Linked DNA regions of Diceros bicornis minor. The protein of the gene in region 1 purifies or fractionates together with the protein of each later gene. This does not show direct contact. Links are inferred from orthologs where the notes say so. Each region holds a gene or a part of one and is shown on either strand. Other genes may lie near its edges.

What was found.
Region 2: the proteins of AGO4 (region 1) and TNRC6A purify together in Homo sapiens (co-immunoprecipitation; 4 studies listed by BioGRID and IntAct, with this or other methods). This does not show direct contact. The link is inferred for Diceros bicornis minor from reciprocal best matches to the Homo sapiens genes AGO4 and TNRC6A.

Annotation. Positions count from the first base shown.
Region 1 is NC_080752.1:50,074,706-50,091,436, forward strand, and holds the start of AGO4 (protein argonaute-4), read left to right. Parts: upstream 1-8,047; 5' UTR 8,048-8,315; coding exon 8,316-8,334; intron 8,335-13,565; coding exon 13,566-13,731; intron 13,732-16,731.
Region 2 is NC_080765.1:27,280,794-27,296,996, reverse strand, and holds the start of TNRC6A (trinucleotide repeat-containing gene 6A protein), read left to right. Parts: upstream 1-9,378; 5' UTR 9,379-9,502; coding exon 9,503-9,507; intron 9,508-9,872; coding exon 9,873-9,920; intron 9,921-16,203.

The DNA.
Region 1 (16,731 bases):
TGAGCACTCCAATTTGGCAGCCTGGGCTTTGCAGGTTTGAATCCTGGGCGTGGACCTACGCACCGCTCATCAAGCCATGCTGTGGCGGCGTCCCACATACAAAGTAGAGGAAGATTGGCACAGATGTTAGCTCAGGGCTAATCTTCCTCAGCAAAAAGAGGAAGATTGGCAATGGATGTTAGCTCAGGGCCAATCTTCCTCACCAAAAAAAAAAAAAAAAGGAAACAACCATTTTATTATGCTCATGAATTCTGTGGGTCAGGAATTCAGAAAAATAATAGTGGAAAGGGTTTGTCCCTGTTCAGCAATGTTTGGAGCCTCAGCTAGCAAGACTCAAATAGATGGGGGTGACTCAAATGGCTGGTGGCTGGAATCATCTAGAGGCTTTTTTACTCATGTGTGTGGCACCTTAGCAGGAACAACTGGAAAGCTGGTCTTAGCTGGTATGGCCAACTGGAGCAACTACACATGACCTCTCTAACGTGGCGGCCCCAATGTAGTCAGGCTTCTTGTATGGCAGCTTTGGGCTCCCAGAGAGAGGGCTCCAGCAAGCAAGGTAAACACTATATGACCTTTATGACCTAGCTGTGGAAGTCACATGGCATCAATTCTGCAGTTTTCTATGGGTCAAAGTGGCCACAAGCCCACTCATATTCAAAGGGAGGGGACACAGACCCCACCTCTTAATGGGTGAAATGTCAAAGAATTCGTGGCCATGTTTAAAATCACCACAAGTTCTCAGCTCAAATGTCACTGTATCAGAGAGGCTATCCCTTTCTGCTATTCCCAGAAGTGGCCCCCCTAGGTACTCTATCCCATTTTGTTTATTTATTCTACAGCTCTCATCACAGTTTGTAATTACCTTATTCTTTCATTTTCGTTTGTTTTCTTTTTATTGTTAGTCTCACTTCAAGACTGTGAACTCCATGAGGACAGGAACTCAGCTTCTCTGGCTCACTCTTGTATTCCCATTACCTAGCACAGGGTCTGGCACATGGTAGATACTCAATAAATAGTTGCTGAAAAAAATTTGAATAACACGTAAGTCAATAAATATTTTCACATAACTTAATAGACTCTAAGGAACCACAAAAATCATCTGACCTTACCTTTTTGTCATCTCAAAGACGCTTGAACACCCCCTGGAGCCTAGAGCTCACTACTTCCCTAGAACCCTTCCTTTATTAAACTACTCTGGGTATTAGAAAAGTCTTTTTAAAATTCGTTATTTTCTCTAACCTACGAATAAAGGAGGCTTATTCAGGGCTGGAGAGGAAGTCAACAGGATTGGGCATTTTTTGAGCCCTTTCTAAGTGCCAGGCACTGTGTTAGGTGTTTTCCATTCATTATCTTCTTTGATCCTCTCAATAACTCTATGAAGCAGTTAGTGTCATCTCTGTTTTACGGATGAGGAAGCTGAGGTTCAGAGAGGTGAGGTGACTTACTCAATATCACATGGCCTCTAGAATTGAAATTTGAGAATTACAACATAGAATTGGAATTCAAGTCCAGGTTTATCTCATTCCCTAATTCATTCCCTTTGCTTCATCTTGAAGAAGAGAAAGAAAAATCAATTGTCCTGGTTAAAATGTGTAGTAGAAATAAAGGCTGAAAGTAAAAACAAACATATTAATTGATTTGTTTATCAAGCCTCATGCATTGCTTTCCTTGCTAGCCATGCTGTCTCATTGACAAAGATGGCAAAATCAAATATAGTTGCCAAGTCTCTCCATTTCTGGCCCCTAGACCATGAATATGTAGAAAACTACCTGCAAAATACAAAAACAGGGCCACTTCTATTCAACATTGTACTGGAAGTTCTAGCCAGGGCAATTAAACAAGAATATAAAATAGAAAGCATCCATATTGGAAAAGAAGAAGTAAAACTATCTCTATTTGCAGATAACATGATCTTATATATAGAAAACACTAAAAAATCCACACAAACAAAACTGCTAGAGGTAATAAGCAAATTCAGTAAAGTTATGGATACAAGATTAATATAAAAAATCAGTTGTATTTCTATACATTAGCAATGAACAATCCAAAAACGAAATGAAGAAAATAAATTCCATTTGCAATAGCACTAAAAAAAATAAAATACTTAGGAATAAATTTAACCAAAGAACTGTAAGATTTGTACCCTGAAAACTACAAAAAATTGTTGAAAGGAATTTAAAAAGACCTTAATAAATGCAAGGATATCCCGTGTTCATGGATTGGAATACTTCATATTGTTAAGATGGCAATACTCCAGAAACTGATCTACAGATTCAATGCAATCCCTATCAAAATTCCAACTGCCTTTTTTTTTTTTGCAGAAATGGACAAGCTGATCCTAAAATTCATATAGAAATGTAAGAGACCCAAAATAGCCAGAACAACCTTGAAAAAGAAGAACAAAGTTGGAAGACTTACACTTCCTGATTTCAAAACTTACTACAAACCTACAGTAATCAAGACAGTGTGATACTAGCATAACAACAGATGTAAGATTGAGAGACTAGAATTGAGCATCCAGAAATAAACATTTATATTTACAGTGGATTGATTTTAACAAGGGTACTAGACTATTCATTGGGAGAAAGAATAGTCTTCAACAAATGGTGCTTGAACAACTGGGTATTCACATGCAAAAGAACGAATTTGAACCACTTCCTCACATCATATATAAAAGTTAACTCATAATAGATCAAAGACCTAAATGTAAGAGCTAAAACTATAAACCTCTTAGAAGACAACACAGGAATAAATCTTCATAACCTTGAATTAGGTTTCTTAGATATGATAACAAAAAAGCACAAGCAATCAAAGAAAAATTGGACTTCTTCTAAATTAAAAACTTCTGTGCTTCAAAGACACCATAAAGAAAGTGAAAGGACATCCCACAATATGGGAGAAAAGTTTTGCACATCATATATCTGATAAGGGACTTAATATCTACAATGTATAAAGTATTCCTACAACCGAATGATAAAAAAGATAACCCAATTTTTAAAAGGGCAGAGGATTTAAATCAACATTTCTTCAAAGAAAATATACAAATGGCCAATAGGTACATCAATAGATGCTCAACATCCTTAGTCCTTAGGGAAATGCAAACCAAATCCACAGTGAGATACCATTTCATACCCACGAGGATAGCTACAATTTTTTTGTAAATCTGAAAAGAACAAGTGTTGGCGAGAATGAGGAGAAATTAGAACCCTCATACGTTGCTGATGAGAATGTAAAATAGTATAGCCATTGTGGAAAACAGTTCCTCAATAAGTTGAGTTACCATATAATCCAGCAATTCTACACCCAGGTATATAGCCAAAAGAATTGAAAACTTATATCTACACAAAAACTGGTACAGAAATGTTCATAGCAGGGGCCAGCCTTGTGGTGTAGCGGTTAAGTGTGTGCACTCCACTGCTGGCAACCCAGGTTCGGATCCCGGGCGGGCACTGATGCACCGCTTGTCAGGCCGTGCTGTGGCAGCGTCCCATATAAAGTGGAGGAAGATGGCCACGGATGTTAGCCCAGGGCCAGTCTTCCTCAGCAAAAAGAGGAGGATTGGCATGGATGTTAGCTCAGGGCTGATCCTCCTCACCAAAAAAAGAAAAAAAGAAAGAGAGAAATGTTCATAGTAGCATTATTATAGCCCAAAAGTGGAAACAACCCAAATGTCCATCAATGAATGGATAAATAAAATATGATGTATACATACAATGGAATGTTATTTGAACCTTGAAAACATTATGCTAAGTGAAAGAAAGTAGATACAAAAGACCACATATTGTATGATTCCATTTTTATGAAATGTCCAGAATAGGCAAATCCATACAGAGAAAATGTAAATTAGTGGTTGCCCGGGGCTGGGGAGAAGAAGGAATGAGGAGTGACTGCTTGTTAATGGGTACAAGTTTCTTTTCGGAGTGATGAAAATGTTTTGGAATTAGATAGTGGTGGTGATTGCACAACCTTGTGAATACACTAAAAACCACTAAATTTTACACTTTAAAATGGTGAATTTTATGGTATGTGAATCATGTCTCAATTAAAAAAATGCAAAAGGGAGGCCAGCCCCGTGGCTTAGCAGTTAGGTGCGTGCGCTCTGCTACTGGCGGCCCGGGTTCGGATCCCGGGCGTGCACCGACGCACCGCTTCTCCAGCCATGCTGAGGCGGCGTCCCATATACAGCAACTAGAAGGATGTGCAACGATGACATACAACTATCTACTGGGGCTTTGGAGAGAAAAAGGGGAAAAAAAAGGAGGAGGATTGGCAATAGATGTTAGCTCAGGGCCGGTCTTCCTCAGCAAAAAAAAAAAATATATGCAAAAGAGCAAGGCTGTCGATGGAGTAGGAGCAGGTGGGCAGAAATTCTATTTGGATGCCAGGTGGTGTCTCTAGTTCAGTAGTGTTAATGCAGGTCCCTGTCCTTCTCAGCCAGAATGGCTCTACTTCAGCTCCCACTTAAGATTTTTGTTTGAATAAGGGGTTCCCCAGCTAAAGAAAAGTGAAAGCCCCTGGCCCAATTGATTAATTGCAAAGAAGCTCCTCCTCTACTTCTAAGCTCCAGACTTGCGGAACTTTAGTAGGTGAGGTGAGGCCGGGGAGTCAAAACACCAACACAGACCAGTGGCCCAGAGGAGGGTTGGAATAAAGCAGCGTGGGTCGCTGGAGGCCTGCCTTCTGGCACGGTGTCCACTAGCGAGGCTCTCTCCGGCTCAATCTGGTCTCAGGCGAGAATTGACACATTCAAGAAGTTCAGTTTCATTCATAAACCTTGAGTATGTTCTGGCTCTCATCCTCAGATGGGTGAGCCAAGTCCCTGTCCTCAGGTGGCTCAGGCACAGGGCATGTAAACATGCCCAGTCCCTGAAGGCCCTGCGCCCCTCTCTTGGACTGAGCTGAGACCTTGAACTCACTGTCTCTCAAGGGACAGCAAGACAGAGGCAGAGGAGCAGCTTTTAGCTGGGAAAAAAGAGTGAAGGGAAGGGAATTAGTAAGTATTGGGTACTTACTCCGTGCCAGACACACAGGAATGTGCACATATACGATTTAACTTCCTCCTCACAACATCTTTGAGCAGTTAAGTGAAGGGACTTGTCCCAGGTACTTAGAGCTAGTATGTTGTAGAACTGGGATTTGAACCAGGACCATCTGATTCGAAAGTATGCCCTGGAGAAGCTGAAAGTTCACCAAGAGTTTTTCACCTAGGCCCCTCCACTAGACCATTTCTAGCTCCCACTATTTATACATTACTTGCTCATTCATTCATTCCATAAATTTCCCTGAATAGACATTTGGTGCCAGGTAATGTGTTACGCAACAGAAACACAAAGCTGAATACCTGAGTAAGGCATAAGTCCTTCCCTCAAGGATTTATAATGCAAAGGGAGCCAGGCCTGGACTGAGACATAAGACCAGGAGCTGAGTTAATTATACCACCAAGGAAGGCCCTGTGGTGGTTTGGCCAGATGGCAAGTGGTTTTAATAGGAGAATGAGAATTCAAGGTTTGGTGCAATGGGGGCAAATATATCGCCGATTCTCTACCCACCCCCCACCCTATCCTGTAGACGTGTGGGGTGTGGGGGAATGAGCAACCACCATCAGAGAGAACTGAGGGGGAAGTGGTATTCTGGGGCATGGCTTCTCAGCCACAGCAGGAAGTAGAGGGAGGGCTTGCTGCACTGGCTGAGGTTTAAGGGAGTTTATTGACTATAGAACTTAGGTTTGGGAGGGTTCAGTCAGAAGGGTCTTTGGGAAGGGGGCCGTGGGTGCCTGAGTGGAAGTGAGTTTTGGAATGAGAATGTAGGTGATCAGAGTTTGAGATGATCAGGGATTGAGGCAATGCAGTCTCGACTGAAACTGTGGGGTAAATACATTTCATACTCAGGTTTCCGAGGCTATTTTCAGTACAGGAAACAAGCTACGGTCTCTGCACAGGGTAGCAAATAGAATATGGGGAAAATTTGTCAGGAAGTGAGAGTGGGAAAGTCAGCTTCAAACCAGGCTGGAAGCACCAGCACTGTTTCAACTGTGAGAAGAATTTAGCCTGGAGTGGAGAAGAAGGGAAGTGGCTACTAGGTTTAACTCAAAACTTGACCTCTAGTTGTTTTTTCTTAGCCTCTTAGCTGTAAACCAGTCTGTTCAGTTAGTGAATACTTCCTCCCCTTCAAACTTTCTGTCTCCTATTATTGTTTCCAGTTTATATCTGGTTTAATGGAGAAGTAGCATGGTGCTATGGAACGAACTTGGACTATGGTATCAGTAGACTAGAATCTACACTTCATTAAAAGTCTCAATGATGTGCGCGCTCCGCTGCTGGCGGCCCAGGGTTCGAATCCCGGGCGCGCACCGACGCACCGCTTCTCCGGCCATGCTGAGGCCGCGTCCCACATGCAGCGACTAGAGGGATGTGCAGCTGTGACATACAACTATCTACTGGGGCTTTGGGGGAAAAAATAAATAAATAAAACTTAAAAAAAAAAAAGTCTCAGTGCCATAGCCCATCAGGGATGGAATTGGCCAAGACTGTAATGCAAGATTTAGAACTCCAATTTTTCCATGCTTCACTGCTGTATCATATAATGCGTGCTGACTTCCTTAGCTTCCCCGAGCTTCAGTTTCTTCATCTTTACAAATACCTTTCTTAATAATATCTACCTTATAGGTGGCTGTGAAGATTAAATGACATGTGAAGCCCATAATACAGTGCCTGGCCATGGTGTGCTCCTAATATTTTTTATCATTACATACAAAAGTTACTTGGCTCTATGGCTGCACATGGTAGGTGCTCAAATGAATATCTCACTACACACGTTATGGGCTGAATTGTGTCCCCCTCAAAATTCATGTCAAAATCCTAACCCCAAGTACCTCAGAATGTGACTGTATTTAGATATAGGGTCTTCAAAGAGGTAATTAAGTTAAAATGAAGACTGTAAGGTGGGCCCTAGTCCAACACGACTGATGTCCTTATAAGAGGAAATTTGGACACAAACATGTACAGAGGGAAGACCATGTGAAGACACAGGGAGAAGATGGCCACCTACAAGCCAAAGAGAGAGACCTCAGAAGAAACCAATCGTTGATCTTGGATGTCTAGCCTCCAGAACTATGAGAAAATAAATTTCTGTTGTTTAAGTCACTCAGTCTGTAGTTCTTTGTAATGGCAGCCCTAGCAAACCAATACAACACATACACATTGTACCTTTTAAACTGGCGGACAGAGGGCTCCTTCATTCTGCTGACTAGAAACTGCTTCTTGGCCTGTAGTCCTATATTCTCTAACTCAAAGTCCCATCTAAAAGCCCCAAGGATGCTGGGCCTGCTGGACTGACCATGCTGCCTTGGCGAGAGTGTTGTTCCCTTGGCTCGTGGCTGCTAAAGTGAAGTCATCCGGGAAAGAAAGATTTTTCTCTTCTGAAGCAACTGGTGACTTGCTGACCAGAGGTGCTTGTCATGGACCAGGGAGAGAATGCATCATTCATCGTGGTCTATTCCCGTGGTGCTTTCTGGCAGCATGGGGAGGGAAGGGCAACTGGGTGTGTGGTGTTGCATGAAGAAGTGGAGGAAAAGAGCTGCGTCTGTAGTGACCCTGGTGTTCTCTGTCCCAGGACAGTGGAGAAAGAGGAGAAATAAGTAGTTTGAGGTGGGAGGAAGGAGGAGAGGTGCCCGATGTGAAACTCAGGACACTTTCCACCCACAGAAGGGGAGAACTGTGTGGATCAGCGGGATCTTGAATCCCAATCTTCTGCAGGGCACTTGCGTCAGGAGGCTCTGGGAGGACCGCACATAGCCCCCCAGAGCCGTTTGCCGGGGAGGGCCGCCCTGGGCGGACAGGGCAGCGCGGGCGGGCAGGCGCGCACCCGACACGTCCTGGGGGCACTGCCCGCTCCGGGCGCGCGCCCGCCCCCGCCCCGCCCCGCCCCCTGCCCCCCGCCGGGCTCGGTGGACCCGGCGCCCGGGGCCGCGCACGACCCCTCCGCGAGCCGGGACCCCGGGCCGCGCGCGCCCCGAGCCCCACGCCCCCTCCCCGCCCCTCGGGCGCGCGCGCTGGCTCCTGCTCCCGCTCCCGCTGGCAGCGGCGGCGGCGGCGGGGATTGTTTTTGTTGTCGCTGAGGCCGGAAGAGCCGCAGGAGCCGGGTCCCTGTCCCCGGGCCGGGCGCCGCCGCCGCCCCCTGCCCAGCGTCCGCGTCTCCGCGGCGCCCCCCCCCCCAGCGCCAAAATTCCGGAGATCAAGCGTTACGCGGCGGCGGCGGCGGCGGGGCCCGGAGCGGGAGGCGCCGGGGACCGGGGCGAGGCGGCCCCCGCCGCCGCCATGGAGGCGCTGGGACCCGGTGAGGAGCGCGCTCGGGCCGGGGCCGGGACTGGGCCCCGGGACCGGTGGGCGGGTGGGCGGGACCGTCGCTCCCTGTCGCCCCCGTCGGCTCGCGCGTACCTGGGCTCGGGCTGTCAGGCCTCGGGGAAAGGGACCCGTGTCCCATTGCACAAGGCGAAGGGAGCTGACCCGGGCCTCGGGGGGCGGGGACCGCGCCCCAGCCTGGAGAAATGAGCCGATCTCGAGGTCTAAGGGAGGGAGGCCCAGGAAGGTGACCCGCGTCCCCAGCTAGAGGGGAGACCAAACCCAGCCTCAGGAGGTGGTCTGTCCTCCAGGTTGAGGCGAGGCCAGTTTGGGCCTCAGAAGGGACGGTCTGTGCCAGGTGCTCAGCGGAGACCTGGCCTGGACCTCACTGCGAAGGACCCGCACCCACTACCAGGGCATTCTTGGTTTGGGGCCGCACCCCTATTTTTCTTTGCCCTGGCAGATGGTCTAGAGCCCTCAGATAAGGAAGAAGAAGAACTTCCCCTAAACACTTCTCATGATCCCCGAAGGCCAAGGGGCAAAGTACCCACCCTTTCTCTAAGGCCCTGAAGTCTCTGAATATGGTCCTGTCATTCTGTGTGACAGTCCCAGAGTAATCTGGGCTAGCGCTTTAGTGACAGGCCAGTTACCAGCCAGCCTGCTCCAGCACAAGCTTTAATGCCCCGAGTTTTCTTCTAACTGGGTTATGGTTGGTTGTGAGGATCAAATGAAGAAGAAAGCCCTTTGGAAACTAATTCCCCATCTTTACCAATAAAGAGCCTCTGGTTCTCTCTCCCACTCTGCACAAACCAGAGGAACCATTCCAGGTTGTAACTAATGCCCTGCAGATTGGAGCCTGGTGCTCCCACCTTGAACCCCAACAGGTTTCTAATGCCTTAGCTAAGTAGGGCAGGGTTTAGGGGCTGTGATAGAATTAACTTTAATATCAAACCTTATCTACATAGTGGACTTAGTTGTACAGCATTTCATTTTTTCAGTGCATAGAAAATTCTGTTTACCATTTGAATTTGGAAAGTTTGCAGGTTTGTTTACTTAGAACTTTTTTACATAGCTGAATGATTAAACTCCACCTTAATTTGCTACTTAAAGTACTTTTTAAAGACCCTCATGATCAAATTTCATATGGCTTTTAAAAATAAATTGGTTTTGTCATATTAATATTATTTGATAAGCCCAATGTAAATATTACGCTAGGTTACTTCAGCTGTGTCCCCCAGCTAAAGGCATGATCAGGTCTTTAGGAATGTAACAGACTTCTGTTCAAATCCAATCTAATAATTTAATAGTTGTATAACCTTGGGCAAATTACTTAATTTCTTTGAACTTTCATTTCCTCATCTATAAAATGAGGGTAATAATAATTATGTGCTGCAAGCTTGTGGTGAGAATGAAATGAGATAATGTATGTGAGAAGTCTTATTGTAGGCCTAATGCATTGTAGATATTCAAAAAATGTTTCTTCCCTCCTCTCCTGTTAGTAACTCATAATTGAAGCAACTGTTGCATTTATGAGCTGATATTGAAAGAGACTGTGTAACTGTGTGTACAAACTGAATTTCGTGGAAAAGATCAACCTGGTGGTGTTAGGAACATACCAGAGACTCTTTCTTTGTTTGATTTTAGCTTTTGCAGGTTTGAAGACTTATCAGTTCACCCAGGATTGTGGAAAATTAATTCTCACTAACCACATTTATATGACACGAAGGAATAAACCAAAATGTCACATAGATCTTTTCTGTTGACTGGAACATTTTCTTGTCTGCTGTTTGGCAAACTCCTTTTTTGGTATCACGGTACTTTGGAAACCCAATTAATAACAAGAAGCTGCTTGCTGAGCATAGAATCAGAACAAAGGGAGTTGCTAGTCTTGTGGGATATTTCATCCAGGCTGTTGTAGAACCTAGAGAACCTTTCCTGCTTCTTTGTTAAAGCACACTGATCTAGTGCCTTGTGCTCTCCTCACTTGAACAATCATTGAAGCATTCTTCATCTTGCTCTGCTCTCCCTCACCCCATTTCGGTTTCTGACAATAATAGCTTGGAAATATATTTATTTCCATTTATTTTGGTTATATTAATGATAACTTTTATTTTTACAGTGCTTTACAGTTTGAAAAGTGCTTTCATAGCTCTTAGCTCATTTGATCCTCTGTGAGGTGGGCAAGGCATGTATTATCCCCATTTTACAGATGAGAAAAGAGGTTCAGAGAGCTTAAGTGACTTCATCAAGGTCTGAAGGCTGAGTGGTGAAATGAGGATGTCTGGGTCATCCAACTTCTAGTCTAATGCACTCCTCTTCATTTAAGGCTGACTTCATCCAGTCTTTGTTCATTCTTATTTGTTTCCTTTTCGGAAGATGTAATTTGCTAACTTTGTCACCAAGTTTTGGAGATGCTGCCAATATAAAGCCCAGGGATCTTTGATCACTGCCGGTAACGCTTATGCAAGTGCAATCATATAGCTAACATTTATTGAGCACTTACTATTAAGAGGCACTGTGTTAAGCCTTTTGTATACTTGTCTCATGGGATCCTCACAATAGCCTTATGAGCTACAGGCTGTTATTACCATACCTGCCCCATTTTATAGATGAGGAAACTAAGCCATAGAGAGGCTAAGAAACTAGCCCAAGGTCATGCAGTTACAGAGTGGTAAAACTGGATTGAAACCCAGGCAGTTTGGTTCCAGAGCCTTAGCCACTGTGCTTTATTTCTTCATAAATAGTTTGCTAAATTCAAAGAAAGCAGCTTTTGGAATGGAAAATTTTAGAATATAGTTTTCTAAATAAATCTTCTAAATTTATTAAAAGAATTGGTCACTCACCTTCTAACTTTTCTCTCTTGCCAGGGAAAAGAAACACATTTCTTTTCTCCACTTCTTAATCCCTTTTCTTTCATTTCCTCTGCTTCTGTCCCTTGGGCATCAAGTTCTTCAGAGAGATATAGATACCATAGGTTTGTGAAGTATATTCGGGAAGAAAAAGCATGGGACTGGGAGTTAGGAGACCTAGATTCTAGTCATGATTTAAAATCAAAGTCATGTGTCCTTGGGCAAGTCATTTGATCCAAATTTCTGTTTCCAAATTTCTATCATAAAGCTGGATTTGTGATACAATGATTGCTTAAGTGTATCTTGCAATATGCAGGGCTGATTTATCTATATGATTTAATTGGGTTAATTCAGTATGCCTTTTACCTCTTACCTTGATTGTAAATGTCTCATCACACCCAGAGTAGATCCCCTTGTACATAAGAAGTGGAGTCAACTCCAAGCAATAATAATATTTTTATTATAAATTTTTTGCTTTAATGAAAAATAATTATCAGCTATTGGGTTTTAGAAATGACGGAGTTTCTGTTTAGTTTCTATCTGGAACTGCTACAAGGATTATCGGTACTGTTCAGCTCGACGTTTATTGAATTCCTACATTGTGCTAGTTGTTGAATACTGAATACGGGAGAGATAACAATAAACCTGAGATCCATTTCTTCTAAGAGTTTACAGTCTAGTGGAGGAGACAGAGTAATTAACAAGTTGTTTCTAAGTACTTATGCTAAGTGCTGCCTTATACAGAGGGTCTTGGGAACACAGAGGATGCATCCCACAGTCTAGGAGATTCCGGAAAGGCTTTCCAAGGAGGTCACACTTGACCTGAGTTTTGAATGATGAGTAGAATTTAGGGGAAGAGTGAACAATTAATTTAATATGTGAAAAGATTTTCAGTACTTTAAGAATTAGTATATGGTGATATGTTAACACAATTACTTAAAGTGTTTGCTTTGATTTTCATAAGTGATGTTGGACTAGAACAGCTTCTTGCTTCGAAGTTTTCTCTCCTTAGTGGATTGTCTTTGTTCTTGGTGAAATGCCATTGCAATAAGAGAACATGTTGTAACTTTCCATTGGAATCACAGCCCATTTTACTCAACACCTATTCATAGCAGAAAAGATGTTTATTTTTTAGGCCAGTGTTCACTTAACGTTATCATCAAGAAGGAGTAAGGTTTTCTGTAGACAAATATTTTCCAGACTGTGTTTCCCCAAATCCTTATCTACTGAATATTGGTAGATGTTTGATTTTAAAAAGAGAGAGAGAGTTCTGGGGAAAAATAAGTTGGGTAAACAATGAATTAAAGTTAAGCAGGTTTATTTATTACGTGACTTGTTAGAGAATTTAATACGATAATGTACATTGGAATTTTAAGAAGGGAATATACAGTTTCTTTAGCTTATGGAATCCTTTTTTTTTTGTGTGTGTGTGAAATAATCTTGTGAACCATCAACGGAATAATTTGGAAAGACTGCTCGTCTACACCAGGGTTTCTCAACCTCAGCACTATTGATATTTTGGACTGGTTACTTCTTTGTTGGGGGGGAGGGGGCTGTCCTGTGCATTGTAGGATGTTTAGCTGTATCCTCAGCCCCTACCCACTACATGTCAGTAGCACCCCCCAAGCTGTGACAACCAAAAATGTCTCCAGACATTTGCCAAATGTTTTCTGGGGGACAAAATCTCCCCCAGCTTGAAAACCACTGGTCTAGACTGTAGGTTCCTTCAAGGCAGAGGCTCTGTCTTTTTCCTGAGTCCATAGTGCAGGTTAGACATTTAATAAATGAATAAATGTTTGTTAAATAAATAAACTAGACCTTATGATCTATTGTCCAGATTCTAAAAATACAAGGTTATAAACAAGAAAGTATATCATTATTGGTATTGTTTCACTTCTAAATTAGCAAGTAAATTGATAAATATAGCAGCTGTTTAATCTCCTCCTGTCTGTACAAACTAAAATAATGCAGGCTAATTTGTGGAGGATTAATGGATCATCTCCACCCTGAACAAGGTGATGGCCCCCAGAATTTAGAGATGGTCTTGTTTTAAAATGCATATAATTTTGTAAGCCTAGGTATAGATCTACTGATGCTCATAAAAGGTTTTGTACAGTAGCCTACCTCTGAGAGGAGTTCATCATACTATCTAATTTTGATGTCCCCCATATTCAAAATAACAGCAACATGGCAAAATATTTAGAAATCTAGAGAAGTTTATGTCAAAAGACACTCCAAACTCTTTATGTCAGAATATGTTCAGTGAATCATAAGATCTTAATAATTGTTGCTATTGTTATTATTACCATCATGATCATGAAGGGAATATTATCCTTCATGACCAAATAGCACGTCAAATGTTTTTCTGTCTTTTTAGGACCTCCAACCAGCCTGTTTCAGCCACCTCGTCGTCCTGGCCTTGGAACTGTTGGAAAACCGATTCGACTGTTAGCCAATCATTTTCAGGTTCAGATTCCTAAAATAGATGTGTATCACTATGATGTGGATATTAAACCAGAAAAACGGCCTCGTAGAGTCAACAGGTAAGGATTAGAATGAGTAGACTTCAATATATTTAAATACACATAATTTATTATGTATCATATTGTTCTCTAAATTCTTTCAACATGTAGGCTTTATTTTTCTCTGAGATGGTGAGTTTCTTAATAGCAGGTTTGCTGTCTCATACTTAGGTTTCCTCCACAGATTCTAGCAGAGTGCTGGATACATCATTGTTCAATCAGTAAATACGTATTGAATGAAGAAGAAAGGTCACTCTTTCATTGTCCAAGGGTAGCAGAAATTTATAAGAATAGGGAATATGGGAAATAGAACTATCTGGAAATTCAAATTTTATTAAGTAGTGGTATTAGACATGAGCAAAATATAAGTATAAAGACAGAATCATCTTGGAGTATTGAAAAACGTAAGCTTAGAGAGATCTGTTTAATTCTAGCGTTATCCAAGAGGGGTCTAGATGATACAATTTAACCATCGTGGTCTGTATGGGAGGAATTTACCAAGTGTGAAGACATAGTCCTGTAATAGATATTCTTACAGTGCACTGAGAATACCCACTTTCCTTTTCTGTTTCCACATTGTGATAGTCAAGCAGTCCTTGATATTAAGATTCTTGCTTTTCTAAGAATGCCCTTGCTGTCAAGTGAAATGTTTTATACTGCTTGATTTTTTTTTCTCATTATAGATCAATAATTTGGCTTTCTGGTACAGTTCAATCTCATGCAAGCCCATAATTGTTTGGTTATTGTATAACTGAGATCAATTGTAATAGAAGTGATGTTCATAGCTAACATTAATCCATTTAACTAATATTTTCTTGGATGCTTACTATGTGCCAGGTATTGTTCTATTTTCTGGGAATACGACATGAACAAAACAGACAGAAGTTCTTACCCCTAAGGAGCTTATATTCTTATGGGGGAAAAGACCAAAAATAAATGAATAAACAAACAAAACATATTACTTGTTAGTGATAAGTGCCGTGAAGAAAAATAAAGCAGGGATGGAAGATAGGGAATGGGGGTGGGGGTGAGCCACTGAGATATTATATATATATTATATATATGTAATATATATTAAATATATATAATATTTTAATAGAATGGTTGTTTTAATAGTTTAGTTAGGAAAGGCCTCACTGAAAAGTGACATTTGAGGACAAACCTAGAGGAGGTGAGCAGTATCTGGGTGAAGAGAATTCCAGGCAGAGGCAGCAGCTTGCACAGTATATTCAGGGAACAGCAGATAGGCCTGTATTGCTGGAGTGAGTGACAGGAGATGAGGTTAGGGAAACTCCAAAAGGTCCTATCATACATAGTCTTTAGCGTTCACTCTGATTAGATGAGTTTTGAGCAGACGTGATAGGACTAACCTAGATTTTTAATGGATCGCTCTGACTGCTGTGGTGAAGGTGAACCCTACTAGGAAAAAGTGAAAAGCAAGGAAATCAATTACAAGGCACTTATAAGGGTGAAAAGTGATAGTGGCTTGGACTTGGGTAGTAAAAGTGACAGTGATAAGAAATGGTCAGATTCTACGAGTATTTTGAAGGTAGTGTCAACAAGATTTGCTGATAGATTGAACATGGGGTATGAGAGAAAGAAGTGAGTCATGATTGATTGATTCTAGGTTTTTTGTCCTGAGCAAGTAGAAAAATGGAGTTTCCATTTATCAGAATGGGGAAAACTATGGGAGAAGCCAAGAGGGCTGGCAGATCAGGAGACCCATTTTGGGCATTTTAGAGTTGAGAGGTCTATTAGACATCCTTGTGGAGATATTGAACAGGAAGTTGACTATATGAGGTTGGCTGCCGGGGAGAGGTCCAGGCTGAAAACAAATATTTGACAGTCTTCAGCGTATTGATGGGAAAGCCATGAGGCTGGATGAGATCATGTAGGCAGTGAGTGTAGTTAGAGAAAGTGAGATTCCAGGACTGAGTCTTGAGGCATCCCAATATTTAAAAATTGGGGAAATGAGGTAGTATCATCAAGGAGCCTGTCATGGAGAGGTCATTAGGATAGGAGAAAACCAGGACAGAGTGAGGAGGCAAGTGAAGAAGATGTGTTAAGTTGGAACAATTTATACTCTAATGTTCAAGAATCGTTGAATTTAGCAACGTGGAGCTCATTGGGGACCTTGATAACAGTAGTTTTGGTGGAGGAAAACCTTAGTTGAGAAGGTTTAAGAGAGAAAGGAGAAGAGCAGTTAGAGAAAAATCCTTCAAGGGATTTTGATGCAAAGGGGAGCAGAGAAATGGGATGTTGAGACGCGGAGGAAGTAGAGTCAAGAAAGTTTAAATTTTTTTTTTTAAGACAAGAGAAATTATAGCATATTTGTATGCTGAAGGGAATAATCCAGTAGAGAGGAAAATTTTGATGATTCAGAAAAGAGGAAAATTCCTGGAGTGATATCCATGAGGAGACCAGAGTAAGTCAGTTGGCTTATGGTGTGACAAGCACTGTTCTAAATACTCTATGTATATTTATTCACTTAATACAACAAACTTTTGTGGTAGGTAATATGATTATCATAATTTTACAAATGAAGAAATAGACATGTGAGAGATTAAGTAACTTCTCCAAGTTCATACAGCTCTGACACTTAATCATTGTGTGACCAGGGACAGGTCCCTTTCTCATTCTGAATTTTTGTTTTTTTCCTCTTTAATATGAGGACAATAAGCATTGCCCTACTTATCTCACAAGGTTATTGTGAAGATTAACTGAGAATAGAGGTGAAAATATCTCTTCACTGTAAAACTCTTTATGGTTATATTTTAAGAATGTAAGATGAGAAATCACCCTTCCAGTATGAAAATGTACAGTTCTTAAGTTAGCTTTTTTTAATTGAGAATATATGATACTACATTTCTCCATCATTTTTTTTCAGTTGCATGATTTGGTTTGAAAACATGTGACTTTCTCTCAGATTTCATTTGTGGCAATATTCATACCTTAGCTAGTTGTGATCTGTCCATCTTAAGCTGTATACTCTGGTTTTCCTGCAACTGCATTTATTTCAGG
Region 2 (16,203 bases), on another chromosome or scaffold:
TTTTAATTCTACATATGTTGTAAACCTCACAATACATTTTATCATTTTTGTTTTAAACAATTATCTTTTAATGACATTTAAAGAATAAGAAAAATGTTTTTCATATTTATCTATGATTTCCCTATATAGGTACCATTGCAGTGCAGTTTTCCTAAAATTTGGAAAATTTTTTATCATGATTTCATCAAATATTTCTTCTATTCTCCTGTTCTCTCCTTCAAGGACTCCAATAACACATATATTAGGCCTTTTAAATTGTTCCTCAACTCACTGGTGATGTTTGTTTAATTTTTAGTCTTTTTTCCTATTTGTTTCATTTGAGATAGTTTCTATTACTATATCTCCAAGTTCTCTAATCCTAATCTTTCTGCAATGTCTAATCTGATGTAAATCCCACTCAGCGTATTTTTCTTCTCACCTGTTGTAGTTTTCATCTCCAGAAGTTTGATTTAGGTCTTTAAAAAAACTTATCTTACAGGTCTCTACTTAACCTTTAGAACATATGGAATACAGTCTTAATAACTGTTTGTAATGTCCATTCCTCCTTGTTTTAGCATCTGTGTCATTTCTGAGTCAATTTCAATTGATCAATTTTTCCCTTCATTTTAATCACATTTTCCTACTTTTTTGCATATCTGGTAATTTTCTACTAGATGCCAGATATTATGAATTTTACCTTGTTGGGTGTTGAATATTTCTGTGTTCATATAAATGTTCTTAAGTTTTGTTCTGGGAGATAGTTAAGTTACCTGAAAACAGTTGGAACCTTTTAGAGCTTTCTTTTAAACTTTATTGGGTAGTGCCAGAGCACTGTTTGTTTAGAGCTAATTTTGTCCCACTACTGCTGCAAAACCCTCCTGAGTGAGTATTCCACCTGATATTCCACTTGATGCCCCAGGTTTTCTACTCTGGTTCTTGGGAACAGGAACTATTCCAAGCTCTCTGTGAGCCCCAGAAAATGTTCCTTCCAATCCTTTTGGGTGGTTCTTTCCCAATCTTGAGTAGTTTTATGACATTCATCACTGTTCAGTTCTCAGCTAAAGACCCAACCATGACTCTCTGCAGATCTCGGGAGCTCTCCATCTGTGTGGTTCTCTCCTCTGGTAGTCTGACCTGTGAACTCTAGCCACCTTGACCTCTCCAGACTCTCAGCTACATTGTCTCAACTCAGAGAATTCACTCTGCTTGGGTTCTCCCTTGATGTAGCACCCCACCATTGCCTGGAAACTCCTTAGTCAGTAATCTAGAGCAATCATAGGGTTCCCTTCATTTGTTTCGCATCTCTCAGGGATCACTGTCTTTAGTTACTTGATGTTCAATGTCTTGAAAACTGTTGTTTCATAAATTTTGTCTGTATTGTTAGCTGTTTCAAGAGGGAGGGTGAATATAGTTTTGGTTGCTCCATCTTAGTTGGAAGTGGATGTTTACTAAATGAATGTTTAATAAATGAATGATGTACATTGTTCCTCATCCAATGTTTAATAAACAAATGATATACATTGCTCTATACATATAGTTTCCTATTTTAATGAGTAGGTTATACTCCCTTACTATCATTCTTTATTTTAATGTTCAAATTATCCTAAATTTGGTCAGTGGGTATAAAACATTTTTAAATATAAAACTGCTTCATGCAGCATTTCTCCACCAAAATTAATGGACTGAGAGTGAAGGAAGTTGGCCCTCAAGGAAAAGCGGGGTGCCATTCTCACTTGTTCCATTCAGAGAAAAAAGCAGAGAAACAACAGATTATTTTAACAGTGAATGTTGCCCTAGTAAGAGGTAGAAGCACCCACTTTATCCTCAACAAAACAGTAAAGGTGCCTGGTGGATCTGGTGGGAGACAAGAGCATCATGGAAAGAATGTTGTTTGCATCTGTCAGATAAAGCAAAACCCAGCAGATCTAAGAAACCAAACAGATCTCTAAGAGAATCTAGTTTTTGCTGGTAGTCAAGATGGTAATAAGCAGGTGTCTGGGAAAACAATGATGCACCTTGACATACATTATGGAATTGCTTGGAAGAAAGACAACGTTTATTTTTCACCATTCAACAAATATTAATTTAATGTTTAATTCCTCCTGGGCACGGCTCTAGATACGGGACTGCAACACTGAACACAGCAGATAAGTCCCCACACTTGGGGGCCTTACAAGCCAGCAGTGCCTGGATAAAATGAGTTATCTCATGAGACCACGTGGGATTCCAGCCCTAAATGCTCAAGAGTTTTTTTCTAGAGGGCTGAATTTCCACCTGAATAGGAGGGGACAAGAGTCAGTGAAGTCTTAAGTTAGTACTGGTACTTGAGTCCCATTTACATGGGTATGAGGTGCAGAGAAGCTCAGGGAAGGCTTGTCAAAGGAGGTAACATGTGAACTGAGCTTTGAAGTGGGAGTTTGTTAGGTAGACATAATAGAAGAGGTGTTCCACTAAGAGGAAATAACATGTGCAAGTCATAGAGGCATTGAACAACAAGAGAAAATGGCAATAATTCAATATCATTTGAACACAAAATAAGAATTCTAAGAAATTGGGCAGGTTAGGTAGTAAGAGTTCTTGAAGAGCCTTTTATACTAGACAAGGGGTTTCAGACAGTATTCTATAGACTATAGAGAGCCATTAGAATTGTAAGCTGCAGCAAGACCTGATCAGCTGTATTTGTTAGAAAGACCATTGGGGTGGTAGTGTGGATATTTGGATAGAGGGAGGTGAGCCAAGCATGGAGAAATCACTCCTTCATTTAATAAGTATTGTTAAGGGCCTTAATTTTTATTAGGCATTGTGCTAGATGCTACAGATAACAGGAGAACAAGACAGACACGGTCCTTGCTCTGCTGGAGCTTACAAAGAATCTGGAGAATCAAAGATTAAACAAACAATGACAGAAATACTACATTACAAACGTAATCACTCTTGAAGAAGAAGTAGAGGATCCCTTTAGAATATGTGATTGGGACTCCTAATGGCGTCCAGCAGGTGATGGTCAGAAAAGTCTTTCCTGAAAAAGTTACACAGGGGTTGAGAGCTGAAGGATGGTTAGGAGCAGTCTGGGTGAGGGAGCTGGGCACCTTTTAGAAAAAGAACAAAGAGCTCTTGTATTTTCTAGAGCTTGTGAGCAAGGGGGAGTGAGTGGAGCTAACACTGGGGAGACACTGCAGATCATGTTAAAAATATTAGGCTCTGAATCAAGAGCCCTGGAAAGCCTTTGAATTATTTTAAGCTGGAGATTGAGATGATCAAGTTTTCATTTTAAGAAAAATCGCTAAGGCTGCTGTATGGAGAATGGTTTCAAGAGGCAAAGAGTGAATGTGTACAATGCTGGCCAGGATGTAGAGCAACCGGAACTTTTCCTGGGATTGGAAATGTAACCCGGGGTCACCATTTTAGAAGCATTTTATAGTTTCTTATATAGCTAAATAGACACTTATCCTGTGACTCAGTAATTCTATTCCTAGCTATTTATCCAAGAGAAATAAAAACATATGTCTACTGTCCACAAAAAAGACTTGTACAAGAACGTTCATAGCAGTTTTATTCATAATAACCCCGAAGTGGAAACAACCCAAATGTCAATGAACAGGAGGGTGGTAAACAAACTTTGGTACATTCATTCAATGGAATACTTCTCAATAATAAAAAGGAATGAACTTCTAATACATGCAACAACATGAATGACCCTCAGAGACATTAAGTTCAGCAAGAGAAGCCAGGCACAAAAGGATATATACTGTATGATTCCATTTATATGAGGTTCTAGAACAGACAGTACTAATTTATAGTGATATAAATCAGAAGAGTGGTTTCCTGGTGTCAGGGGGGTGTGTGTGTCAGTGCGGGGGAGGGCAGGGAGCAGATAAGTGATGAAAAGGGGCACAAGGGCATTTCCTGGGGTGACAGAAGTGTTCTATACATTGATTGCAGTAATGGTTACATAAGTGTGTTTATTTGTCAAAACTCATTGAATTTTTCACTTTAAATGTGTGCACTTTATTGTATGCAAAATATACCACAACCAGAAAAAAAAAAAAAAGAGGAAGAAAAAGAATCTGTGGAGTTTTCAGAGTGTACTGAGGGTGGCAGTGGAGAAGCAGAGGAAGGAAAGAATAAGTGAAGTTCGGAAACAAAATAACTTATTGATGCACGGATGCAGGGGAGGGAAGAGTCAAAACTGACTCAGGTTTCTGGCTGCGGCAGCTTGGTAACTGGTAGTGTTATACCGACGTGGAGAAAACTGTCCATTTTGGGGCAGGTTTGTGTGTGGTGGGGGGAGAGGGACAGAGAAGGAATAAGGAGACTAAATTTTGACCCGTCAGTCTGAGAGGCACCACGTGGCCCCCTTATACTAGACTTAATCCTGTTAATCCTACCTTTCTAGATTCTTCACTGGAGTATCAGACTTCCTCAGCATTCCTTCCTCTGCTCTTTTCTCACTCCATAGCAATGGTTCTCAACAAAGTAATACTTCACCTCCCCTCCACAGAGGGGTTGGGGAAACCAGTGAAGTGTTTTTGGTTGTCACAAAAAGGTGGGGCTGTGCTATTAAGTTTCAGTGGATAGGCGCCACGGATGCCAGACAGCGATAGTCCCACACAATAGAGAACTCCCCCTCTCACTGAACACTCACATAGGCAAAAGGCATGTTTATAATTATCTGAGGACCTAACACCTCACTTTGTCAGTCTTAATATACCCTAAAATTTCCAGTAATGCAATTACCACGTAAATCGAGGGAGAATTGTTTTCTAGTGGTTCAGAACTTGACTGAGAGTTGTTTTCTCTTCCAGATAAATTACGTCTCCAACATCACTACAGTTTTTGGCGTATTGGTAATCAATCCCACACTGCTGTGTCAGTCTGCATTTGTAGTAGTGATTCTACACATAGCTGTCAGCATCTGCCTACTTTACTGTGTCTTCCAGTGTAGACATTCTCAAGCATTTACATAGTGAAAGACATTTTATTTTGCTATACTTACTTTTCTCTTCTTTCTCCTTTATGTCAGTGATAAGTCATTATATATGATTTTTAAATTATGTTTTAGATAGATTATATTATCTATGATTATCATTTTGGAATAGTAAGGGGTAGTGTTACAAAGTATTTCTCATCAAAAGGGGCTGCAGCATCTAATATGGTTGAGAAAAACCGATCTACAATATAGTGGTTAGTGATCTGGGCTCCGGAGCCAAAATGCTTGGTTTTACCACTTACTATTTAGGTAACTTTGGCCAAGTTAATTATTGTCATCTGTAAAACGGGGCTAACATCCTCCCTCATAGGGCTGTGTGAGCACAACAATAACGATTAGTTAATATTTGTAAAGCACTTAGAACAGCACATGACTGGCACATATTAAGTACCAAATAAATTTTAGTTAGATAAAATAAATACGGTCTCTCCAGGAAATCTTATGCATGTTCATGTCTTCAATTTCCATTTATACATTATTGCAGAAAATTTCCTAAATTTAAAAATATTTTGAGTGAGCTTTGCCTAAAAAAATACATGTATATCTCAACATGGTATTTGGTAGAGCCTTAGGAGAAAAGAATGCTTTTCTTTCAAGTACATAATTTTCCAAGTATTAGGCTAATCATTCACCTTTCTCAGGAAGACAAAGAAGAGAGGGTTGAAGAACATTTATGTTCTGGTAAAATCAGAAACCAACGGAACGAAAAACCCAAGGAAGAAAGACAAGTGGCAAAAAGGTTTTAAGTTTAAATTTGTACAGCCTCTGTTTCTTATTATGGTCACTAAGAAGCAACAAGAAGCTTCCTAAGATAGTTACAGATTCTTCCTAAGCTATTCCATAGAAAGTTACTGTAGGAAAGACATTTAATGTTATATACAAATTCTCGAACTGTAAACCTCAACCATGAGGCAAGGAAAATACTCTAATATTCACTTAATCTAGAAAATATGCCTGTTGTAGGAAATGGCATTTGCTTACTCAAATGAGCTGTGTTAATGAAACCCATTACTCTACAGAGGACCTTGTTTCTGGTTTTGTTCCTAATTGATTATGCAAGTAAAATAAAAATGGTGGCTCCACTGGATTTAAAGCCAAATACAATAGGAAGCCTGTTTTCATTCACAATGAGGACCCATAAATTTAAACCTCCAGCCTGAGACCCCTCCTTTGCTGTTCCCTGGATCCTGAGTTGGCTGCCCCTCATCCTTCAGCTCTCAACTGAAGCTTTACACTGTCAAAGAAACCCTGTTTGACCACACAATCTGTGTCATCTTCTTTTGTTTTACACTTTCTTAGAGCAACAGTTCTTTCCTTCTGTGCACTTGTCATAATTTTTACTTATAAGCTTTATAGTTTTCTTAAAAAAAAATCTGTCTCCTGCATTAGACTTAATCCACCAGAAAGGTTCCTTACAAGTGCCAGAGAACCAGGCCCTAGTACATTTCCTAGTACATAGCAGGTGCTCAATAAATATGTGTTGCCCGGGGGAAGTGTCATTTTGGCATTCTAGGGTACACAGTTGAGATAGGGGCTAAAGATATGAATGTGAGAGTCATCTGCATTTAGATAGTATTTAAATACAGGAGAATGGATGAGATCACTCATTCTAAGGAGAAAGTGGAGATGAGACAGGGAAAAGTCTTGAACAGAGCCTTGGGGACCTCCAACATTTAATAGGCATAAAGCAAGAGATGCTGGCAAAGGAAACAAAACAAAGGAATGGCTAGAGAGGTAAAAAGAAATTCAGGAGAATGTGCTGCCAAGACAGCCAGGAAAAGAGACCTTCTTAAGAAGGTGGGGGTGGGTAGTTGTGGCAAATACAGCTAAGAAATAAATGAAGATCAGAATAGAAATGTTACCATTGAGTTTGCGGCTTCTAGGTCATTTGTGACCTTGATAAGAGTGATTTTGAGGGAGAAGTGAGGGATGTCAGCTTAGAGTGAGTTGGGAAAGGAGGTGCTGGAAGCAGCTGGCGTAGAACACTTTTTCAAGAAGCTTTGCTGGGAAGGAGAGCAAAACAATGAAGCTGGAGAGGAATGAAGCATCAACAAAGTTGTTTTGGTTTTGTTTGCATTTTTTTTTTTTTTAGTGGAAGTTACTAGAATATGTTTGTATGGTGATGGGAAATATTCAATATAAAGAGAGATTAATTATTTAATAAAGAGAAAGAATGACAAGAGGAGAAGATCCCTTAGTAGGTTCCTGATAAGGAATCAGTGCTGATCTTATATTGTCATTCTTCTTTGACCTACCCTTATGCACCAAGTTTAAGTAAGAGATCATTAAAAAGTGATTAGTTTGACTTCATAATGCAGCCCTGAAGGGGTCATATGGGACATGTCAACCACTCTGGAAAGAACTTCAAGAAATTCTATCTCCTCAGTTTCCCTGGGGCTGGGAATTAGTTCCAGTGTTTCTCAACCTTGTGTGCTATTGGCATTTTGGTTCAAATGCTCTTGTGTCGTGGGGGACTGTTCTGTGCATTGTAGGATGTTTAGCAGGATTCCTGGCCTCTACTCACTAGATAACCGGTAGCATCCAGTTGTGACAACCAAAAACCAGCCATTGCTAAATGTCCTTTGGGGGGGATGTGTGCAAAATTGCCCCAATTGAGAACCACTGAGTTATTCAAACCTAAGAAAGTCTAACAACAACAACAACAAACCAGCTAATCTTACCTGTGTAAATGTTGATAAATACTACTGTTTTCATTGCCTTATGCTGTTGTGGAAAATTATTCATGAACCTGGTGTGAAAGCCTATTGTGCTATACATACATGTTAGTATTTTTTAACTCCTAAAGAGATACTGTAATATAATTTTTAACATTTTAGTAGAAAGAACAATAAAAGAAAACCAAACCAAATACATGTATGGATGAATCAACCTTAGGGATGATGGCAGGAAAAGGAAAGTCACTAGCATGTATTGGTGGTCCCTACATTTTATATTTTGTAAACTTGATTTAAAAAAACCTTTTTTCACATGCTCATTGTATAAAAATGAAACAAACAAAAAACCCCCCAAAAGCCAGATACATTAAGAGAAGAAAATTAAAAACCTCATAATGTCATCAGTTAATATTTTGGTGCATATGCTTTAGGACTTTCTGTGCATCCATCCATTCATTTATTCATTAACTTATTTATTACACATCTCCCTCAAAGTGGTTAGGAACCAGGCAGTGAAGGCGATTTTGTTTTTTTTTAATGGGAGAGATTTGGGCATGTTCTCAAGCCAGTGGAAGGACCTATTTAGAAAGAGGAAAATGGTATGATCCATAGAGTGAGGTTTCCGAGAAGGAATGAATTTTAAGCAGAAGAGGATTTATCTTTAGGAAAAAAAAGCATTGTGAGAGGATGGAAAAAATACACACATATTACACAGGGATATATGTATCTTATTGTATCTACATGTATGTATATTGCTGTATCTACCTGTAGGTATGTAAGCATCTTGTATCCACATGTAGGTATTATTTTTTAACTTTATCTACACGTATGTATCTTACTGTGTCTATATGTTTTTTTACCATGTGAGCCACTTTTGGTACCTGCTTTTTCACCTTTTCTACTGTAACCATTTTCCCCATTCCGTTAGTCTTCCTCCACATCATTTTTACAGTATCCTAAGGCATACCAGGAGTTCGGTTTTTAAGGCCACCTCCTAATGTTGGACATTTTAGCCGTTTACAGTTTTTACTATCATCAATGCCCGGACTTGATATCTTGGCGGTGTAATATTCGCAGATAACTCAGATTATTTTCTGAACAGAAATTCGGGCAAGTGGAATTGTCGAGTCAATGGTCTGCAAAATTCGGTAGATACAAATCGCTTTTAAACCTCACCGCCCGCCTCAGGTACGCATTCTTTACCTGCGGAGGAAACAGAGAAGCAGGGAGGTTAAATAATTGGCCCAAGGTCAAAAATGATTAGAAGTGGCGGATTTCAAAAGCCGGAGCGGGCTCATCACCCTGCAGCAAGGGTAGAATTTGCGGTTTAGGCGATTTTTTTTTTTTTTTTTTGATGTGTGTGTCAGTGGGGGAGGGGCCGGGTGGCAGGGAAGGAAACTTGTGTCGCAGCAAAGAAGGAGGAGGAGGGGAGGGACTCGAGTCAGATCAGAGGCGGCCGCGGCGAGAAAGGCTGGGCTCGGGGCTCGGCGGGCCCCCCAGCCGCTCCGCGGGGCGCCTCGGAGGCTGTGAGGCCCGCCAGGGAGGTCCGGCGGGGGGCCGCGCGCCGCGCCCGGGCGGTTGCCAAGGGCCTGCCCCGTCTGCGGGTCCAGTTGCTAGGGCCTCCATCTTGAGGCCGCCGGCCGCGGCGCCCCCGGAAGGGGTTGCCGAGTGGGGCATTCACTTCCGGTCTGAGGCCTGCGGCGGCTGTGGCGGCGGCGGCGGCGGCGGCGGCGGCAGCGGGTCGGTGTAGAAAATGGCGCTGGTGCAGCGGCTCGGGCCTCTCCCCGCGGCGCTGCGGAGGGCTTGAGGCTCGCGAGCCTCACTCGCCGCGCCCCACTTGCTCGTGCACTTTACACACATGAGGTGAGCGGGGCGGGGGCCTCCCTCCGGGCGGGAGGAGCCTCGGGCGCTGCCGCAGGGCCCGCGACTGGGGGCGGCGGCGGCGGCGCCGGGCGTCCCGGGGACCTCGGGGCTTGGCGGGGGGCGCGGGCGGCGCCGCTGCGGAGGCCGGGCGGCAGGCCCGGAGGGGCCGCGCTGCGCCGCTGGGGCCGGGCCGGGGGCTGCGGCTCGCCCGCGCCGCCTGCCCGCAGTCCGGGCTGCAGCCCCGCAGCTTTGTGAGCCCCCCCGGGCGCCCCTCCCCTCCCCCATCCGGCTCCGGCGCGAGCCTCTGCCGCAGCAGCTCCGTTTTCACGCGCATCTCTCACTCTTTCTTTTCTTTTCTGTTCCAGAGAATTGGAAGCTAAAGCTACCAAAGACGTAGAAAGGAATCTTAGCAGGTAAGATGGGCGAGCTTTCCGTCTCTCGCCCCGTTAATCGTGTATTTCCACTCTGGTTCGCCCTTTCTGGGGTTATAAGTTCCCCCGTGTCATTTTCTTTCGCACGCAGGGGACAGGCATTCGGGAGAAGAGGCCAGAGGGAATATTGGATGGAGGGATTCCGGGGAGATGCGTAATTACGCGTGTGTTCCTTTCTTTGTGGGGGGGGAACAGCGAAAAGCAATTCTTGTAAACTTAGTTAAAGCATTCTTACCCTTTTAGAATTTAATTAGGGGACTTGTGCATTAATTACTATTGTAAATGGTTGCAGGCATTGTGTGACTCATGATTGAGGCGGCCCTTATGGCGGGCTGTCAAACTGTTTTGGCTTCCCCGTTATTACTTTGTAACTCAAATTGTTGCCCTTATAAAAAGATACTATGTGTTCGCATTTTTTTCAGCACATTGTAGTCAGGCGGGTTCTGTTGCAGTGGAAACAGTTTTGCCCTTGAACTTTACCAAGCATAAACTGTTTTGTTTTTTTTTTTGAAACTACGTTTGTGTCTACGTTCGATGTGTGCCCTTTTAATAGCCGGTAAAATAATTAAAAACCTGTTCCCATTAAGTGGTTATCATTGCTTTTGGGCCTGAGTGCTTTTGCACTGGTATCTTAAATCATCGCCACAAAGGGAGTTTTTTGTTTTTTAAACGATGCCTTCATGGAAATATTCAGCGTTATTGAGCTGTAATTGCTTAAGCATCAGGGCATTGCACTGGATTTAACTCTTTTTCACATTCATGTTGTCTTACAGTCTTTTCCTTTCTTATTCGCCGTTTTCTTTTGCATCATATTGGGACACTCGAGAAACTTCTAGATTAATTTAATCAGTGAGCAGCTTTCACTTGGATAGAATGAAATAAAATTTCTCCTATCTCAGTTCTTAATATAATTTGTGCTTGATGACTGTTTTTAGATTTATGTTGAGGTTTATTAACACTCACAAATCAAATCGTCTGGTTACTTTTCACCACATAGAATCATTCCAAATTGCTGGTCTTTTGAGTTTTATAGATATTAATCTGTTAAGGTGATCATTAAAGAATCTGTTTGGTTGGTGAAGGATGGGCATTATTGGCTTACCAAATAAGAGATTTTTTTGTTATTCAGAATAATTATGGGATCATTTAAAGGAAATTAACCCTGACATCACTGACTAAGTAACTGTTCATTGGACATTTAAGTAAGTTTTATTGTCAAAAGTTATTAAATGTTAAGATATGAAACCATGAAAGAAAACAGGTTGAGTTTTTAAGGTGTAATTTCAGCAGCAGAAAGGAGCTTGGAGTTTGGGTCTGTTTCTCCTTCCATTTTTGCTTTGTCAGGTAATTGTATCAGTATAATTCCTATGGAGGTTTTCTGGGACTTAATTAAAAATTGTGTCTACCACAGGTATAATTTTTATATACTATTACAGTTGGATAGAACTTGGAGTTTCTGTATCGGAATTTGAATCCCAGCTCTGCCACTTACAATATGACCTTGACTCTTGGCAAATCACTTAGCCTCTGTGCCTAATCTATAAAACAGAGGTTTGGGCCAGCCAGTTGCAAAGGTCTGTAGGCCCTTGGGTTATGTAAAGGGAGTCACGGGAGTCATATAAAAAGGCCACAGAGAGCATGTACAATCTGGTAGGCAAACTAATAAGTATTAAATAACTAATACAAGGTCAGTGATGTAGGGATCAGAAGAAGATACCATCCCATTGATATACTTGAGGATCTTCAGTTGGTCAGAAGGAACGAAAAGGAAAAATAAGTGTCAAGGAGGTTACAAGGCAGTGTGTACTAAGGACCATGAGAGGGGAACATTTCCTAAAGGGTGAAAGTGTTCTGAGGAGGGAGAGATGTGATTAGGTGGGCAACTGCTTCCGTTCAATTCTCTCTAGTTCTATGCTTCCTTTTTCCCAGATAAGAAGAGTATATCTGTCTTGACCCATTCGTGCTCTCCCCAGGAAGTCAAGGCATTATTTTCCAATAAACATTTCTTGAGCATCTTCCATGTTCCAAGTGCGAGACTAGGCACTAGGGAGGGGAAGAATGGCAGTAGCTAAATTTATTGAATGCTTCTATCTGCCTTGACACTCTTTTCTGAAGACTTTACATGGACTCATCTGATCCCTGGAACACTGTGTGAGGTAGGTACTATTATCCTTGTTTTATGGATGAAGAATTTGGGACACCAAGAGGTTAAGGAACTTTCAGGAGGCCACACCACTGGTAAGTAATTGGAGGAGCTGTCGAGCTTTGAACTATATTGTATTGTCTCTTACTAGAGGCGTGGTTCTTTACATTGAAAAATTTGAAAATCTCCTTGGGGAGGCAGAACCCACAGATACGTGCAGTTCTTCTAGATCAGAGTTTCTTACCTGGGTACTGTTGATATTTTGGACCAGAAAATTTATTGTTGTGAAGTCTGCCCTGTGCATTGTGGGATGCTGGACAGCATCTGCCAGTGGCACTCCCCACCCAGTTGTGACAATCAAAAATGTGTTCAGATATTGCCAGATATCCCCTGGGGGGCAAGAGTCACCCCCAGTTGAGAACCACTGTTTTAGATCTTTACATTTCGTGAAGATAACTGAAGATTTGGATTTTTAAGGTGAAATCTTTAAATGTTAAATTAATTTAAACTTTTTTTTGGGGGGTGGGGGTGAGATCAGCCCTGAGCTAACATCCATGCCAGTCCTCCTCTTTTTGCTGAGGAAGACCTGCTCTGAGCTAACATACATTGTCAATTCTTCTTCTTTTTTTTTTTTTCCCTTTTTCTCCCCAAAGCCCCAGTAGATAGTTGTATGTCATAGTTGCACATCCTTCTAGTTGCCGTATGTGGGACGGACGCCGCCTCAGCATGGCCGGAGAAGCGGTGCGTCGGTGTGCGCTCGGGATCCGAACCGGGTCTGCCAGTGGCGGAGCGTGTACACTTAACTGCCAAGCCACGGGGCAGGCCCCAATTTAAACGTTTTAATACCATGAAAGTCCAAACTCTATTTTGTGGACCGCTAGTTTGGAAGCTCTGTCTCTGAATATCAGAGATGTATTTCCATTCTCCTTTTCCTCTGCAAAGCTGCAAATCCTCCTCAAGACAGTGTGCCAGGTAGCCAGTGCCATTTAAACAAAATTGGCACAAAAGATAAATTTAGTTTACTACCCTAGGTAAACTCTTTCTTAATTCACTGTTGGCCATTAAAATTGTCACTTTATAGTCAGTGTCATGGGTGTTCAAAAGAGGGAACTATAATGTCTACATGGGAGTTCTCACCGTTGGAACTGAACTTTAAAGAATGGAATCAATTTTGAAAAGCAGAGAAAAGGGTAGTGTAAGAAGAGGAGCAGAAAAAAGGCACAAAATCCAGAAAGTACAGGGAATTTTTAAATAGCAGTGAGTAGTTCATTGGATTGGCATATAAAGTTGGGAGCAGATGCAGAGGTTCTTAAATATCAGGTTGAGGAATTTTTACATGAATCTTTAGATAGTGGGGAGCTATTGTATGTTTTTGGGTGGGTAGTGATATGATAGAATAATGATAACTAGTGATCTAGGCAAGACCTGAATTAAAGTGGTGGTAGGAAAGAGGGGCGAGTGTGAGATACTGGGGAAGTAGAATCTGGGATTTGGCTGCTGACTAATCTGGGATTAGTTGTGAGAGGAGTCTAAATACACAGGGGTCTTGGGTGAATGGGAGATTGACCTAGCCTCTGAACAGGTCAGAACAGAAATAGGACTTTCTGTAGAGAAGGTGATGTTACACTTTCCAGTTGTAAAAAATCTCTTCTAGTCTAACTCAACTGATGTAATTTTTAAAAATATTTTGGAGGCCAAAGCTATAGAATCATTGAGTATTTAGAGCTGGACCATGACATTAAATAGAGACTAGCCAGTATTCTGACCCTTTCATTTTACAAATGAGAAAGCTATGATTGAGACAGATCCAGTAACTTAGTCAAGGTTATATTCTCTAACAAGTGACAGAGTTGGGATTCAAACAGGCCTTTTGGCTCATGATAACTATAGGGTTCTTCCAACTATGCAGTATTTTATTTTATATTGCACTATAGAAAAAAGAAAACTTTAGCTTCTTTCTTTCTGAAAATGTAAGAACAATGATCTTAACCATATTTTGTGCCCATTCTGGTAATGAATTTACTGTAATGTAGGGTATATTATTTAAAGTAGAAGTTAACATGCTTCATGTTATGCTGATTCTTTTTTTCCCCAAACTCAGTTATTAAATGCCATTATACAACAACAGTTAAAGATGATGTAGTACCATATAATGTAGCATCTAAACTGGAACACCTTTATCTGAGACTCTTTTGCCTGGGACAAATGCTATTAAATAAGAAAAGACTAGGGACGACAGGAGTAAACCAGGGCATTCGTTTTCTCTAGATGAGGTGGACCCTGCTCTTGAAATTCATCAACCTTTATCTGAAAAAAAAGTTATCTTCTGATTTCGTTAAGCTTTTCTGTTGCTTTCCTGTGATACGGTTAGTAGGCCAGCAAATTCATATTGGTAAGTTTCTTTCTAGCTTAATTTGGCAGCTTTGTGGTAATTAATTGATAGAATAAACGAATCACAAACTGTAAGCTTAATTTTAAAATGTGTAACAACCCTCTGTGGCAAATTTAAATATAAACATCATTAAAAAATCTGAGATCCATTGTATAACCTCTTGTGAATTTTGGCATCTGAAGTACGTCTGCAAGTATAAATTAAAGTCCTTACAGTTCTGTTTTATGACAGCCTCAAAAGTATTGCCCATGATTGGGGAGACTAAAGTAGATGTGTGCCGTATATATTCTGCTCAGACCGATGACTTAGGACAAGTCTCTCACTCAAAATCAAGAAAATGTCCTCCCATTTAAAATTTCTTAAAAAATCATTCTAACCTTCAGCGAAGTAGCAACAATAGTGTGCATTGAACACCTGTATCTCTGTCTAGGTTTACTGATTATTAGTATTTTGCCACATTTATTTTATCATGCCACTTCACCCCTAAATAAGACAACGTGTGTCTCCCAAGAACAAGGGCATTCTACATAACAACAGTTAAATTATCATGCACAGGGAAGTTTAACTTTGTTACAATACTCTTCAGTCTGTATTCAAATTGTTCCAATAATGTCTTTTTAAATATGGGTATTCTTTTCCCTCAGTTCCTTAATCCAGGATTGCATTTAGTTTTCTTGTCTGTAATTTCCTTACATCAGATACAGTTCCTTATCCTTTTCTTCCCCTTTCATGACATTTACATTTTGGAATAGTCCAGGCTAGTTTCTGCAGGCTTCAGTTTGGATTTATCTGATTGTTTCTGTAGCATTAGATTCAGGTTAAACCTTTTTGGCAGAAACATCACATAAGTGATGTGTTTGTCCTGAGGACACCACATCGGGCTCCCTCCCTCACCATTTTTAAGCAAATTAACTGGAAGTTTACCCAGTACTTTTACTTTTGCACTAACTCAATGTTTCTTTTGTTTTAGGTTATGCCAAGCAATTAGTTTAAACTGAGATATAATTTTAAATAGTTTCCTGGTCTTCTAATCACAGGTCTTCATGTTTAAATTGATCAATTGTAGTGATTGCAGCTTTTTCAAAGGTTATTGTTAGACATAAAAGTTGCTTGTTTTCAGCTTTCACCAGTGATAAACTGGTAACCCTGGTAAGAAAATGAAACATAGGTCCTGGACGTGTGATATGCATTCTTAAAAAGAATGCCCCGTTGAAGTGAGAGTGACATTGTGCCACCAGAACAGGGGTTCTCATCCTGGATTCCACAGAGGGACCACACATAGTATGAAGTAGTTTGAAAAATTATATGTGTGCTTTAAGAGAGATGGTCCTTAGCATTTATCAGATTTCAAAGGGTCTGGCTCCCCAAAGATTAAGAAATATTGTGTTATGGGGAGGATGTCAGAGGAGCGAAATAGTATCAATAAAAAGGAGATTTTAAGATTCAAAAGCGAGAAAGTAACATCCGACTAAGGCATAGTTTCTTTCTTCAAAAAAAAAAAAAAAAGCACCATGAAAATAAATATAGCTTAAACTTCCTATTAAGGTGGTCTTATTTTTAAAATGATTTGCATACTGTGTGTGTGAGTTGGCTATGAAGCAGAAATCCTAGCTTTTCTACTCTTGTAACTAGGGAAAAGCATTTTGAATTTTCAGCAGTAGTATGTTATGTGATAATGACTCAGCTGACTTCCGTTTCAAATGGAATGTTCAAAACAGATTGAAACCTGG